Linked DNA regions of Macaca fascicularis. The protein of the gene in region 1 purifies or fractionates together with the protein of each later gene. This does not show direct contact. Links are inferred from orthologs where the notes say so. Each region holds a gene or a part of one and is shown in the gene's direction. Other genes may lie near its edges. The genes, in order: USP44 and EZH2.

The links.
Region 2: the proteins of USP44 (region 1) and EZH2 purify together in Homo sapiens (affinity purification with western blotting; 3 studies listed by BioGRID, with this or other methods). This does not show direct contact. The link is inferred for Macaca fascicularis from reciprocal best matches to the Homo sapiens genes USP44 and EZH2.

What each region holds. Positions count from the first base shown.
Region 1 is NC_088385.1:102,566,957-102,574,003, reverse strand, and holds part of USP44 (ubiquitin carboxyl-terminal hydrolase 44), read left to right. Parts: intron 1-2,705; coding exon 2,706-2,911; intron 2,912-5,506; coding exon 5,507-5,706; 3' UTR 5,707-7,047.
Region 2 is NC_088377.1:190,535,645-190,543,707, reverse strand, and holds the start of EZH2 (histone-lysine N-methyltransferase EZH2), read left to right. Parts: upstream 1-4,016; 5' UTR 4,017-4,222; coding exon 4,223-4,293; intron 4,294-4,769; exon of another isoform or gene 4,770-4,902; intron 4,903-5,065; exon of another isoform or gene 5,066-5,201; intron 5,202-8,063. UniProt on the Homo sapiens protein: Polycomb group (PcG) protein. Catalytic subunit of the PRC2/EED-EZH2 complex, which methylates 'Lys-9' (H3K9me) and 'Lys-27' (H3K27me) of histone H3, leading to transcriptional repression of the affected target gene.

The sequences.
Region 1 (7,047 bases):
AAAAAAAGAAGAAGAAAAATGTTGAGATTACAGGCATGAGCCACCGCACCTGGCAGAATATTTCTAATACCGTAGATGTCCCCTGTGTGTGCCTGTCAGTCTTGTTCCTTTCCCCTCTGCAGAAGCAAACCATTAGGAATTTTAGGTATAATATTATCTTATTGTTCTTCATCAGTTTATTGTCTTTCTTTCTTTTTTTTTTTTTTTTTTTTTGGTAGAGACAGGGTTTTGCCATGTTGCCCAGGCTAATCTGGGAACTCCTGAGCTCAGGCAGTCTGCCCGCCTCAGCTTCCCAATGTGCTGGGATTACAGGCGTGGGCCACGGCACCTGGCTGAGAGATATTGGAAAAACCGAACTCAGTTTCTCCTACCATACTCTTACAACAGAGAATACAAATGTGACCTCTGCTTACCAAAATGTGTAGGAGATTTCTCCCCACCAAGCAGGTAATCAGCTCTGCAGTGAGCGCGAGCTGGGTATCCTCTTATTCAGCTCAGTTCCAACCCTGTCTACCTGGAGGTAGCATCAGACCCCACAGATTGAGAGCTCAGTCCCACCAGACTGACCCCCACTTCTGACACCAGTCATAACTCCAGGTTTGTGGAAATTCTGACCAACCTGTTGGCTATACATTTAATGGGATTCTCACAAGCCACACTCCCCTCGTTTGATCAATTTGCTAGAGCGCCCCACAGAACTCAGGGAAACCTTCATGTTTACCCTTTTATTACAAAGGAGAGTTTCAAGGATCCATATGAACAGCCAGACGGAAGTCATGTGTAGGGCATGACTTGTGGGAAGGGGCGTATAGGTTCCACACCTTCCCTGGGGGTGCCGCCCTCCAGGGACCTCAGCATGGATAGCTATCTGGAAGCTCCAGAAGCCCATCCTTTTGGGTTTTTATGGAGGCTTCAGTACATAGGCATGACTGATTACATCATTCAGCCCCATTCCCTTTGGGGGTTGGGGACGGTATTTGGAAGGAAGCCGAAAGTCCCAATCCTCTAGTCATTCCCGGGTCTTTCCTGTGACTTGCCCACATGCTGAAGCTATCTAGGGGTTGCCAGCCACTAGTTGTCTCATTAGCATACAAAAGACACACTTTTTTTTTTTTTTTTTTTTTTTTTTTTTTTTTTTTGTGAGCCAGAGTTTAGCTCTTGTTGCCCAGGCTGGAGTGCAATGGCACAATCTCAGCTCACTGCAACCTCCGCCTCCTGGGTTCAAGTGATTATCCAGCCTCAGCCTCCCCAGTAGCTGGGATTATGGGCATGCACCACCACGCCTGGCTAATTTTTGTATTTTTAGTAGAGACGGGGTTTCACCATGTTGGCCAGGCTAGTCTTGAACTCCTGACCTCAGGTGATCCACCCACCTCAGCCTCCCAAAGTGCTGGGATTACAAGCGTGAGTCACCGCACCCAGCCAAGACACTCCAGAGATTCCAAGAATTTTAGGAGATGTATCTTAGGAAACTGGAAGGAAAACCAAATATATTTTTCACAACCACACAGAGAGTTTGGAATATGACTTATGGTCCAGCAGATAACATAATTTGCATGGTTCATCTTTAGTTCCATGCCATTTTACACTGGACTAAGCATTTTCACATTTTTTTTTTCCATCATAAAACTGTGTTCCTGTCTCTCTGTTCTCTACCTGCTGTTATTTGTCTGAAGTTCATGTTTTAGTACTTTACTACTGTATTTTTATCTATGTCTGCCTTGTCTCTGTACCATACCACCACAAACTGGATTATAATCTCTTGAACTACCACGTTACATTATTTTCCCCTCATAGGACCAACTCATTATGCGTATTGATAAACACATTGCTTGCCATGCTGAGATCCAGTAAGGGGAAGTATGAGCAACAGACTGAGAAAATGACAGGATAAGGGCGTTCTTTCAGTTCTGTCACCAGTGGGCGGTTGTGCTGACTTACACACAGCAAGGGGACACAGTTCCTGTTGTTTTAGTCTGAAAATCTCTGAAGTATTCTGAGGAATTAGAGGTGCCCTGCTTTGTTTTCCTCCATACCTGGCCAAGAAAGATCCAGATTGTAGCTCCCATCTGGGATACCCTCTTCATATCCTGGCAAGACAATAAGGAATTAAAAACCCTTTGGTGGGGCTGGGCACAGTGGCTCACACCTGTAATCCCAGTGCTTTGGAATCCAAGGCAGGCGAATCACTTGCGGTCAGGAGTTCAAGACCAGCCTGGCCAACATGGTGAAGTCCTGTCTCTACTAAAAATACAAAAATTAGCCAGGCGTGATGGCGCACACCTGCAGTCCCAGCAGGAGAATGGCTTGAACCTGAGAGGCAGAGGCTGCAGTAAGCCAAGATCGCGCCACTGCACTCCAGCTTGTGTAACAGAGCGAGACTCCATCTCTAAAACAACGAAAAACAAAAAAACCCCAACCCTTTTGTGGCCTTCACTTTTACCTGTTAGGGGGTAAATGCCCCCATAAGGCAATACTTGCCCAAAAGTTAATTTTTTTTCCCTACATTGTCATCTAACTACAAGAAGGCAAAATAAGCCAAAATTTCTCCGTTTATAGCCAACTTCAGCATTGAAATAATTTTATATTACATATGATACTTTGTATTCCATACTGCCTGGGGTCATCTGTTACAAGTGTCTAGACCTAGTACATGGTTATTTTCCCTTAATTGTGTTGATAATTTCACACTGGTTTGTTCACAGGTGGTCAGGATGTAATAACCGAGAGAAGATTGGTGTTCATGTTGGCTTTGAGGAAATCTTAAACATGGAGCCCTATTGCTGCAGGGAGACCCTGAAATCCCTCAGACCAGAATGCTTTATCTATGACTTGTCTGCGGTGGTGATGCACCATGGGAAAGGATTTGGCTCAGGGCACTACACTGCCTACTGCTATAATTCTGAAGGAGGTATAGATAAGAAAAAGTATTTTATCTTGGGTTGGACTTGGAGGCTGGAGTTCAGGCTTTAACCAATTTCTAAATTGACTACTAAATCATAAACAAAACTACTTGACCACTTACTTTCTTAGGGAGAATACCTCTGCAGATACTAAAACATGAGAGTCGATGCATGAAATATTTTCTGTAGGTTTTGCGGTACTTTTGACTAAGGGCTAGAGAAATATAATAATGAGGATAGTCTTGTTGCCAACTAAAAGTCAGAATGTTAACTTTTCTTAAAGACACACTTCAAAAAGCAGATCGTATGTTTACTGGTTTACTTCAGTTAATTTTGTTAAAGAAATAGGGCACCTAATGAACTGGGGGATCACAGATATTTGGAACAAGCACTGTTCAAGTTTAACATACAAAACTCACTTTTATTTTCCATCTTCTAGGGTAGTCTAGTTCTAGCAAAAGTGATTGGATCGAGATTTCATTTTTTACTCCCCCATCCCCTGCCTTTTTTTTTTTTTTTTGAGATGAAGTCTCGCTCTGTCACCCAGGCTGGAGTGCAGTGGCGCGATCTTGGCTCACTGCGACCTCTGCATCCCAGGTTCAAGCAGTTCTCCTGCCTCAGCCTCCCTAGTAGCTGGGACTACAGGCATGTGCCACCACACCCGGATAATTTTTTTTTTTTTTGAGACAGAGTCTGGCTCTGTTGCCCAGGCTGGAGTGCAGTGGCCGGATCTCAGCTCACTGCAAGCCCCGCCTCCCGGGTTCATGCCATTCTCCTGCCTCAGCCTCCCGAGTAGCTGGGACTACAGGCGCCGCCACCTCGCCTGGCTAATTTTTTTTGTATTTTAGTAGAGACGGGGTTTCACCGTGTTAGCCAGGATGGTCTCGATCTCCTGACCTCGTGATCCGCCCGTCTCGGCCTCCCAAAGTGCTGGGATTACAGGCTTGAGCCACCGCACCCGGCCACACCCAGATAATTTTTTGTATTTTCAGTAGAGACGGGGTTTCACCGTGTTAACCAGGATAGTCTTGAACTCCTGACCTTGTGATCCGCCCGCCTCTGCCTCCCAAAATGCTGGGATTACAGAGGAGCCACCACACCCAGCCGTACTTTCCCTTTTGATACTTACTGTTGAACAAAGAATGAACTTCCAACTCCCCACCCCCACCCAACACACCCCAAACAGAAAAAGGTGAGGACAAGAAGCCCGATAATCCACCAAGGTAACTCCACACTGAACTACCAAAAACTACCAAGTTAGTTGTACACTATTGGCTTTTTTTGTTTGTTTGTTTTTGAGACGGAGTCTCACTCTTTCCCCCCGGCTAGAGTGCAGCAGCGTGATCTTGGCTCACTGCAACCTCAACCTCCTGAGAAGCTGGGATTGCAGGTGTGCACCACCACGCCTGGCTAATTTTTATATTTTTAATAGAGACGGGGTTTCACCATGTTGGACAGGCTGGTCTTGAACTCCTGGCCATAAGTGATCTGACAGCCTTGGTCTCCCAAAATGCTGGGATTACAGGCATGAGCCACCATGCCCGACCCAATTTGCTTTTTAATACAGATTGAGTATACCTTGTCTAAAATGCTTGGGACCATATGTGTTTTGAATTTTGGATTTTTTTGCATAGACATTATGAGGTATTGTAGGGATGGGACCCATATACACCTTGTACACATTGCCTAAAGATAATTTTCTACAACACTTTAAAAAATGCAAGTTTCATAAGTTTGTGTACATTGAGCAATCAGCAAACAAAGGTGTCACTGTCTCAGCCACTCATACAGTCTGGTGGTTTGGCATCAGCATAATTCCTGGCTGATTTATATGCTAATGATAAGCAGTCATTAGCATACTTATGTGCATGTAATGTACATAAGTGCATTATACTTATGTGCACATAAGTTTCACAGTAAAAAAAAAAAGACATTAATACAGTGGAAAAAAATGTGTTCAGGGTTACTTATGACATCACGTTGGCACAAAAAGTTTTGGTTTTGGATTTTTTTTTTTTGAGACAGCCTCTCTATCACCCAGGCTGGAGGGCAGCTGCACAATCCTTGCTCACTGCAACCTCCACTTCCCAGGTTCAAGCCATTCTATACTCTTGCTTCAGCCTCCTGAGTAGCTGGGAGTACAGGCACGCACCACCACGCCCAGCTAATTTTTGTATTTTTAGTAGAGACAGGGTTTCACCATGTTGGCCAGACTGGTCTCTAACTAACTCCTGGCCTCAGGTGATCCACCTGCCTCAGCCTCCCAAAGTACTGGGATTATAGGCGTGAGCCACTGCGCCCGGCCAGATTTTGGAATTAGGGATGATCATCCTGTATGATTAGTGGCAAAAGCATTAACTGGTAGATTTACACAAGGAATAAATAGTGTCAGGTACTCTAATCAGTCACATGCTGTGTAAACTTAAGCTACTTCTAGATTAAAGGTAGATAATTCCAAGGTAACACTACCCAATCTATATTTCTTGTTAAAGAAAAATGAATTGGCTAGAAAATTATTTTCCCTTCAGAAAAAGCTTCTCAGTCAATTCATACTAGAATTTTATAAAGTCCCTTCATAAGTGTATTTCTGTGCTTCACTCTAGGGTTCTGGGTACACTGCAATGATTCCAAGCTAAGCATGTGCACTATGGATGAAGTATGCAAGGCTCAAGCTTATATCTTGTTTTATACCCAACGAGTTACTGAGAATGGACATTCTAAACTTTTGCCTCCAGAGCTCCTGTTCGGGAGCCAACATCCCAGTGAAGATGCTGATACCTCGTCTAATGAAATCCTTAGCTGATCCAAAGACAATGGGGTTTTCTTCCTGTGATTTATATATATACTTTTAAAAAGACTGATGTACCATTTTAAACTTTTCTTATGAATCAGTGTATATACTACATTTATACATTTTTATATCTAACTACAATTTTTTTTTTTAACAAAGTATAAATGTGTGTATCAACTGAAGGTAACTACTTTTTTCAAATATTTGGAGTTTTAAACTTTTGGTGTTTACCTCAGGCTGATGTTACCTCTTTTATATTTTTATGTCTTAATTGGCTTGGATCATGAATTTGTGCAATCTTCTACCAACAAAGTTCGAGTGGCATCATTTTATATACATGTGTTATCTTTTTCAGGTATTTTCTATACAAATTCTTAATAGATGGAAAATTAGACTTTGCTTGGTCACTAATAGTCTTTCTTTCATTTGTATATTGAAGTTACCTTGCCCGTTGGAGTTATTGAAGTGACATGTCAAGTTATCACCTAAATATTCTTCAGTCACACTCACTGGTATTTCTGAGGCTTTGTGTGTTAACAGGCCTTGTAATAGACATTATTTTGGTTAATGTAACCCCAAAATTGTTTTAGTAATTGCTCTTTATTTGGCATAGTCAAACTATAAATGAAAATGGCAGCTTTACAAATAGTATATTTAAGTGACCTTTGGAACTATGGACATGAAAAAATGATGCCTGGGATTTATGATTTTTGTCTGGCAGCAAACAGGTTTGTCCAGAAGTCTAAAAATTAAGCAGTCATAAAAAGTCTGAATTTAGCAAACCAGTATATGATGTTATTCAAATAGTTTACCTTGGGTATGAGTTCATTTTATAATGTCTGATGACATTAGATCTCTTAAAACTTTATATGTAATTTTTAGTTCAAAGGAATAAAGAGTCTTGAAGAGAAAAAATTACAGGGCAAAAAAGTGTTCAAAATTGGCAACTGGACTATTATGTCTAGCATCTCATTCTCCTAAATAACTAAAGTTTGATTTACTCTTGCTAGGATTATGTGACTACTAGGTAGGAGCCTCTTAAAACACTGGCCCTGAGCATTAAAAAAATTAAAAGCTATCTAAACTTGCAAAAAAAAAAAAAAAAAGCCGTGAGTCACTCTTTTTGTTCTTCTCTGATAATCTCACTGGATTTCTTTAAAGTCCTGTTGCTGCTAACTTTATCTTGTTTGGAGAGGGCAGAATCAACTAATATGCAGACCAGCTATGTATCTAAGCTCTGTTAACCACAGGAAGATCATGTATCCTTTTTTTATAAGTGGGTTTATTTGCAGGTTGAAGTCTTAGTGAAAGATAATATCCTGTAGAATGCTGTTCACCAGTAGTGATCATCTG
Region 2 (8,063 bases), on another chromosome or scaffold:
TTCTTCCCTGGCTTATTACAACGGACTCATCACTGTCCTCTCTGATTTGGCCCCGGCTCCGCTTCAGGCTCCTTTCAACACAGGAGCTAAAATGATCTTGTTTAAATGATCATATCACCTTTTTGCTCAAAATCCTCTCATTTTGTAAAAGATAAAGACCTAACTATGGTCCACAAGGAGCTGAAAAATCTGCTTGTGCCTCCTACATTCTTCAACATCATTTCCTACTTTTCTTCCCCTTCCCGTCCTATAGCACATCAGCCATGCTTCTGCCGCGGGCCCAGGCACTGACTGGCCCTTCTCTCTGCCTAGAACAGTCTTCTCTCAGTAAATTCTCCCTCAGCTCCTTTAAGTTTTTCTTCATATGTCACCTTCAAAATGAGGGCTTCCCTAACCAAGTGGTTTTTAAAAAATTATTTTATTCCAAGGCTGGAGTGCAGTGGTGCCATTTCACTGCAACCTCTGCCTCCCAGGCTCAAGCGATCCTCCCACCTCAGCCTCCACACTAGCTGGGACTATAGGCACTTGCTACCATGACCGGCTAAGTTTTGTATTTTTGGAAGAGATGAAGCTTCGCTATGTTGCTCAGGCTGATCTAGAACTTGTGAACTCAAGTAATCCTCCATCTCAGTCCCCAAAGTGCTGGGATTACACGCGTGAACCACCTCACGTTCAGCCCCAAGCTGTTTTAAAATTACAGCATTTGCACCCAAAACTTCCCTCTTCCCATGCCTTTTTTTTTTTTTTTTTTTTTTGAGACGGAGTCTGCTCTGTTGCCCAGGCTGGAGTGCAGTGGCGCGATCTCGGCTCACTGCAAGCTCCGCCTCCCGGGTTCACGCCATTTTCCTGCCTCAGCCTCATGAGCAGCTGGGACTACAGGCGCCCGCCACCACGCCGGGCTAAGTTTTTCTATTTTTAGTAGAGATGGGGTTTCACCATGTTAGCCAGGATGGTCTCGATCTCCTGACCTCGTGATCCATCCACCTCGGCCTCCAAAAGTGCTGGGATTACAGGCCTGAGCCACTGTGCCCAGCCGCCCATGCCTTCTTATTTATTTATTTATTTTTTTGAGACAGAGTCTCGCGCTGTTGCCCAGGCTGGAGTGCAGCGGCGCGATCTCAGCTCACTGCAAGCTCCGCCTCCCGGGTTCACGCCATTTTCCTGCCTCAGCCTCCTGAGTAGCTGGGACTACATGCCCCCGCCACCGCGCCCGGCTAATTTCTTGTATTTTTAGTAGAGACGGGGTTTCACCGTGGTCTGGATCTCCTGACCTAGTGATCCGCCCGCCTCAGCCTCCCAAAGTGCTGGGATTACAGGCGTGAGCCACCGCGCCCGGCCTGCCTTATTTTTATTACCACCTCATGTTCGGTATAATTATCATTCAGAGTAAGCACTCCACAAATGAGTGCTGAATAACGTGTGGAAAGTAAATCCCATTTTTGGGGTTGAAAGGGAGGTTCTGAGAAGTCAAGGGATGCAAAGGGAAGTTCTGCGATGTTAACAGCCTTAACGTGGCACTTCATCTTCTCCAGCTCCCCCAGGACAACCCTGAGGATCAGCTGTGTGCCGGGAGACCTAGGCCCTGGGGTTACAACAGTGAAAAAGGTAGTGCTACTTCCTGACTTTGGGGCTTAAGTGTTTTTGGTTTCATCTTGTAACTTTAATACTGAATTTTTGTTGTTCACACAAGGCAGAACAATCTTTACACAGAAATGAAAAAGCTTGGTGATCCTCAACCTCCATGTCCACCTTTGCGTTTAGCCTGGCTTTCTGCTTCATCTACACCCCTTGAGTAACTGGCATTTACACACACACTTGCTCATATGTTTACTATTCATTACACATATTAAACATATTTTTTCCCATTGAAATAGTCACAGAGGTCTGTACAATGGGCTTGTATATTTTCTTGCTTTCCTGGGTTAGACATCTTCAGACTTTTTTTTTTTTTTTTTTGTAGCAAAAGCAAAATACTTCTTCCCCCTCCTAACTTTGCTGTATTTGTCATATACGGAAAGGAGTCGCAAGACACCATACAAACCCCACATAAAATGAAATCCTTCTGGACTATTTTCAAATTATCCCTTTTCTGCCATTACTGTGGCCTAAACTACCTTGCTTAAATGGATAATATCATTAAGAAAATACTGTGATCCACTGGCATCCCTTACCCTAGCCTTCATATTACATTAAATCTGTTATATATATATTTAATATCATCCCACCTAGCTCTTTAATGGTTAGAGTCCAACCGACACACTCTTCTCGGTGGGAATGGTCGTTCTATAAAGTTCTTTTTACATGTTTCTGTTTTTTCCTAACATTCAGTTGGTGCCAATAATCATATTTTGTCCAATCACTTTTTTTTTAGAGACAGGGTCTCATCCTGTTGCTCAGGCTGGAGCGCAGTGATGCCATCATAGCTCACCGTAACCTTGAGATCCTGAGCTCAAGCAGTCCCCTCCCTCGGCCTCGGGGGCAGTTGGGACCATAGGTACTTCCGTGCCACCACACCCATTTATTTTTAAAGTTTTTTTGTAGAGATGGGGTCTTGCTATGTTGCCCAGGCTGGTCTTGGAGCTTCCCACCTTGACTTCCGAAAGTGCTGGGATTACAGGTGTGAACCACTAAGCCTGGCCTGGAACATCTTGATCCATCCATCCCTTGATTCTAAACGTCTAACAATTTATATGACATTTCACACCATGTTGCATATATTTATATACTGCTTTGATTTGCTTTATGGTAGTCTCTAATTTCATTGATCTTCCTCTTAAAAAATGTCGTTTTACTATTTAATATTATAGGACTGATAAGTTCAGTAATTTGATAAGCAACTTAGGGATAAGTAGTTAATTTCTGAGGTTTAAGTTGCTGGTTTTAAAAAATTGCAAACTGCTGGCCTAGATAGATGCATTTTATCTTGGAAAATGAATGTATTGGTGACTGTAAGTAATGACAGCTATAATTCGTTACGTTATTTTACAGTCACATCTCAGTTGCATAACTTACTTTTTGCAGTCTTATCATTGATTCACAAGATAATTTTGCTTTTATCTGAGCACATGATTGCTTGTTTCTCCTTATCTTTTAGCTTCCCTTCATATATACTTTCCAACATTGGCGTGGTTCAGAATATATGTGAGGAATGGAATGGTGATTTAGGAAAGGCGGGAAAATTATGGGCTAAATCACCTGATGAAAAATTATGGCCCGGCGCGGTGGCTCACGCCTGTAATCCCAGCACTTTGGGAGGCTGAGACGCGTGGATCACAAGGTCAGGAAATCGAGACCACCCTGGCTAACATGGTGAAACCCCGTCTCTACTAAAAACACAAAAAATTAGCCGGGCGTGGTGGCGGGCACCTGTGGTCCCAGCTACCCTGGGAGGCTGAGGCAGAATGGTGTGAACCCGGGAGGCGGAACTTGCAGTGAGCCGAGATGGCGCTGCTGCACTCCAGCCTGGGCGACAGTGTGAGACCATCTCAAAAAAAAAAAAAAAAAAAAGAAAAATAAAAATTAAAATTCTAGCTAGTTATTAAAATCATTAAAAAGATTTCTTCAGATTTTTACCCCAACATCATAGGTGGCCTTTTTTCAGTGTCCAGTCTGAACTATCAATATGGAATCTCAGTTTACAGGACAATGGTATTTTACCCCATAGGTACATCCTAGTAAAAATAAATTCGGGATACTCTTAACTGCATTGTCACATGAAGCAATAGGAGAGATTGTATCCTAAGCAGAAGCCCCCTAATTCCTGAGTTGAGGCAGGTTGACCCCCCCATAACTAAGATCATTGTTTAATCACTAAAAAATATTGCAAATATCCTTACACTTTGCAGAGGCGGCAAGTGAACAGCGCTCATCTTAATAAACGATTTTTAACACTGACACTTGCTTGGCACTACAAACACTGGAAGGGTCTGAAATGGCAGTAATGTCACCCTTTCACAGGTTTCTAGGGCGATAAGCACTGCGAGCTCAGCCAAAGTCCAGCGGTGGAGGCGGGGGGCGGGGGGCGGGGCGGGAAGTGGCCGAGGCAGCAGCAGGCAACATCAACGGGACCCGGGCCGGGCGCTGTGGCTCACGCCTGTAATCCCAGCACTTCGGGAGGCCGAGGCGGGCGGATCACCTGCAGTCGGGAGTTCGAGACCAGCCTGACCAACACGGAGAAACCCCGTCTCTACTAAAAATACAAAATTGCCGGGCGTAGTGGCGCATGCTTGTAATCCCCGCTACCCGGGAGGCTGAGGCAGGAGAATCTCTTGAACACGGAAGGCGGAGGTGGCGGTGAGTTGAGATCGCGCCATTGCACTCCAGCCTGGGCAACAAGAGCGAAACTCCGTCTCAGAGGGAAAAAAAAAAAAAGAAGTAACGGGGCCGGCGGCAGCGCGCGGGCCGGGCGAGCGTCTCCCCGCAAAGGCCGCGCCGCAGCAGAGCCGACCTCCGGGGCCCGTGCCCTCCCCTCCCTGGGCACCGCCAGGAGAGGCCAGCTCGGGCCTCGGCACCGCGCGCGGGGAAACGAGCGCGGCGGTTAAAACCGTTACCACCCCCGAGTTTTGAACTGGTTCAAACTTGGCTTCCAGTCCCCGCCTCGCCCCTCCCCTCCCCTCCCCTCCCCCGCCCGGGAACTCCGCGGCGCCGGTTCCCGCCAAGAGCAGCCGGCGCGTCGTCCCGCCCTTCGGCCCGTTCCCGCCACCCATCCTCCCCGCCTCCCGTTCGCGGTGGGCTCCGGGCCCCCGCGATGTCTCCCGGTCCCCGCCTGCCTGCACACCGCCTTCCTGAGAGGCGCCGTGTGTTCAGCGAAAGAACAAAGAGACGGCGGCAGCGCTTCCACAAGGCCAGTCGCGTCGCTTCAAGCGAGCCCCGCCACCGCCCGCGCGCGCACGCGCCACCACCGCCCGCCCGCGAGCCCTGAGCGCACTCTGCGTGGGGCTGGCTCGGCGCCTCCGAGCCCGGCGGGCCCTGTGATTGGACGGGCGCCCGCCTAGCGTCCCGCCAATCGGGGCGGTGCTTGATTGGGTTGGGGGGGCCAAATAAAAGCGATGGCGATTGGACTGCCGCGTTTGGCGCTCGGTCCGGTCGCGTCCGACACCCGGTGGGACACAGAAGGCAGTGGAGCCCCGGCGGCGGCGGCGGCGGCGGCGGCGCGCGGGGGCGACGCGCGGGAACAGCGCGAGCCGGCGCGCGGGACGAAGGTAACGCGCCGCTGCGGGCGGCCCGGCCGGTGGGGCTCCAGGAGTGCGAAGCGGGCGGCGGCGGCGGCGGCAGGACCTCCCCGCCGCTGCTGTGCCGGTCCCGGGTATCGCCTAAACGGGGCTCACCCGGGCGCCGCGTTTGTAGGCGTGCGGGGGGTGGAGGGTGAGGGGAGACCCCCCTCCCCGGAAGGAGCTGTGAGCTTAGGGCTGGCCAGCGGGAGCCTACGAGTGGGGCAGCGCGGACCCCCGGAGCTGCGGGGCGGGGGGCGTGTGGGGGGCAGCTTTCCCGGTGCCTGCCCTGGCCGGGGCGCCGGGGCCGGGGTCGGGGCGTTCCGGTGCCCGGTCCAGGGTGGCAGCTCGAGCCTCAAGTCTCCTTTGTGTGGCGCGGCCGCGGCGGGAGCGCCCGGGTGGGACGGGACAGACACAAGTTGGTGGGACCCAGCCGCCGAGTCTGCACTCAGACAAAGGACGGACTGTGTCTCCGGAGGTCTCGGCGCGAGGGGAAGGGGCATGACACCCGGGCCCGCCGGCGGGCGGGAGAGGGGCGTGGGGAGGCGCGGGCCGCTGCCGGGGTGGGCAGGGCTCGGCCCCAGCCCCGCGCACGCCCCCATCCCGGGCGCGCTGACCCCGGGCTGGGGCCGCGGCGACCGCGGGACGACGTTCGCGGCGTGGAACTCGGAGTAGCTTCGCCTCTGACGTTTCCCCAGGACGCACCCCGAAATCCCCCTGAGCTCCGGCGGTCGCGGGCTGCCTCGCCGCCTGGTCTGGCTTTATGCTAAGTTTGAGGGAAGAGTCGAGCTGTTCTGCTCTCTATTGATTGTGTTTTTGGAGGGCTTCCTGTTGAATTCCCACTTCATTGTGTACATCCCCTTCCACTGCCCCCAAAAATCTGTGCCACAGGGTTACTTTTTGAAAGCGGGAGGAATCGAGAAGCACGATCTTTTGGAAAACTTGGTGAACGCCTAGTGAGTTCCCACTTTCTAAAGAATCGTAATCCTTAAACATTACAAGCTGTTTTGGCCAACTTGTGTGATACATCTGAGAATGGCGACAGGTGCTAACGAAATCAACTGTCATTCAGCCAGAGATTATTTCCCAAATCCCGACGGGTTGAATGAGGATGAGGTGGTAGAAGTAGGTGATCAAAATAGAATGGCTATGACAAATGTGTGTTTAGATTCTATGGTTAGCAGTTTCTTAGTAATTGGTCTCGTTTTCTGTGAACAATAGCTTTGGTGATTCAGAAAAGACTGGATGCAGAAATGTTTGTTGCCTAAGAAATTTAACGTGTGCTGTCCACAGTTAAACTTCCTTTGTTTATCACACAGTATCTGTAACATTTAAATTCATTTGGAAATAAAAATGTATCTTTGATGTTTACTTAAAGGCTTGCTTTTTAGGGTTCAAGGAAGTTATTAGCTTAATTTTGTGGAGTTTTGATGTCACCATAAAACAGCATTTAATAAACCTTTGAAAAACACGAATGTAGTCACGGTTGAATGTAGTCAATACTTTTAGGGGTTTTGGAGTTTATTTTCTATTACTCTTCATAAGCATTAGCAACTAATTCATATTTAAGAATACGGATCAAGTGTGTAATCCTAACTTGTTTATTTGTAAATTTTATTTGCAAGAAAACAGAAGTATTTAAGATATATTTTAATGTTCTATTCATGGTCTCTAAAGTTAGGAATAGGTAGGATTCTAGTCATAGATATAAAGCATGTTGTTCTCTCTTTTTGGAGATGTGTTGGGTTATGTAATATTTAAGGTTTCCCGGAAACAGGAACATTGCATCTTAAATTCTCGTTTTTGTGGAAAGTGAGTATATTCCAGGAAAACAAGTTAGAAAAACATAGGCGTTCTTCTGGTTGCACTGTCCTATGTGATAAAGATCTAATGTGCATCTACTAACTTATGGTTTCTTAAAAATGGAGACAAATAAGTGCAGTATAAATTTATTACATATATTTTGGAGAGTGTTGACACCACTGTACAGGCATTCCAGGTGCTGGTCTAAGTGTTGAGACATTATAACAAAAAAATAACGTTTATATTAATTACTAATAATTCTGTATTAAAAAATCCTATTAATAATCTTGTCCATTATGAGATGAGCTAGTTATGCAGATATTTGGCAGAAAATCGGATATTTTAAGATAATTTTTTTTTTTTGAGACGGAGCCTTGCTCTGTCGTCCAGGCTGGAGTGCAATGGCCCTATCTGGGCTCACTACAATCTCTGTCTCCTGGGTTTAAGGAATTCCCCTGCCTCAACCACCCGAGTAGCTGGAACTACAGGCACGCACCACGACACCCGGCTAATTTTTGTATTTTTAGCAGAGGCGGGGTTTCACCATATTGGCCAGGCTGATCTCGAACTCCTGACCTCAAGTGATTTACGCGCCTCCACTTCCCAAAGTGCTGATCCAGATGTGAGCCACCATGCCCAGCCTAGGATAAAAATTTCTAACTTTGCCCTTGCGTGTTCTGTATTTGATAATTACTGTTCTTTGTACTTGCCGTGAGATATTTTGAAAAACATCTCTTTGGGAAATTGGTTTAAAAATTCATCTTAAATTATTTTCTGGTACAACTCAGAATGTATTTAGTCAGTTTAAGTAGCAGTGACTTAAAAAAAAAAACACACTTGTTTATCTAGTGTAGTTAGAAAAAGTTCTGATACTTTGATACCTAGCTTTGCCTTGCACAGATAAATATAAGTGAATATCTTTATGTTGGCCGTTTAAAAATTTTAGGCAAATTTCTCCAAGTCCTATTGGAATTTTCCCAGAATATCTTCCTGCTTTTGAGGTAGTGTGCTCAAGGATTGTGAATTTATTTCAGTATTACCCTTTACATG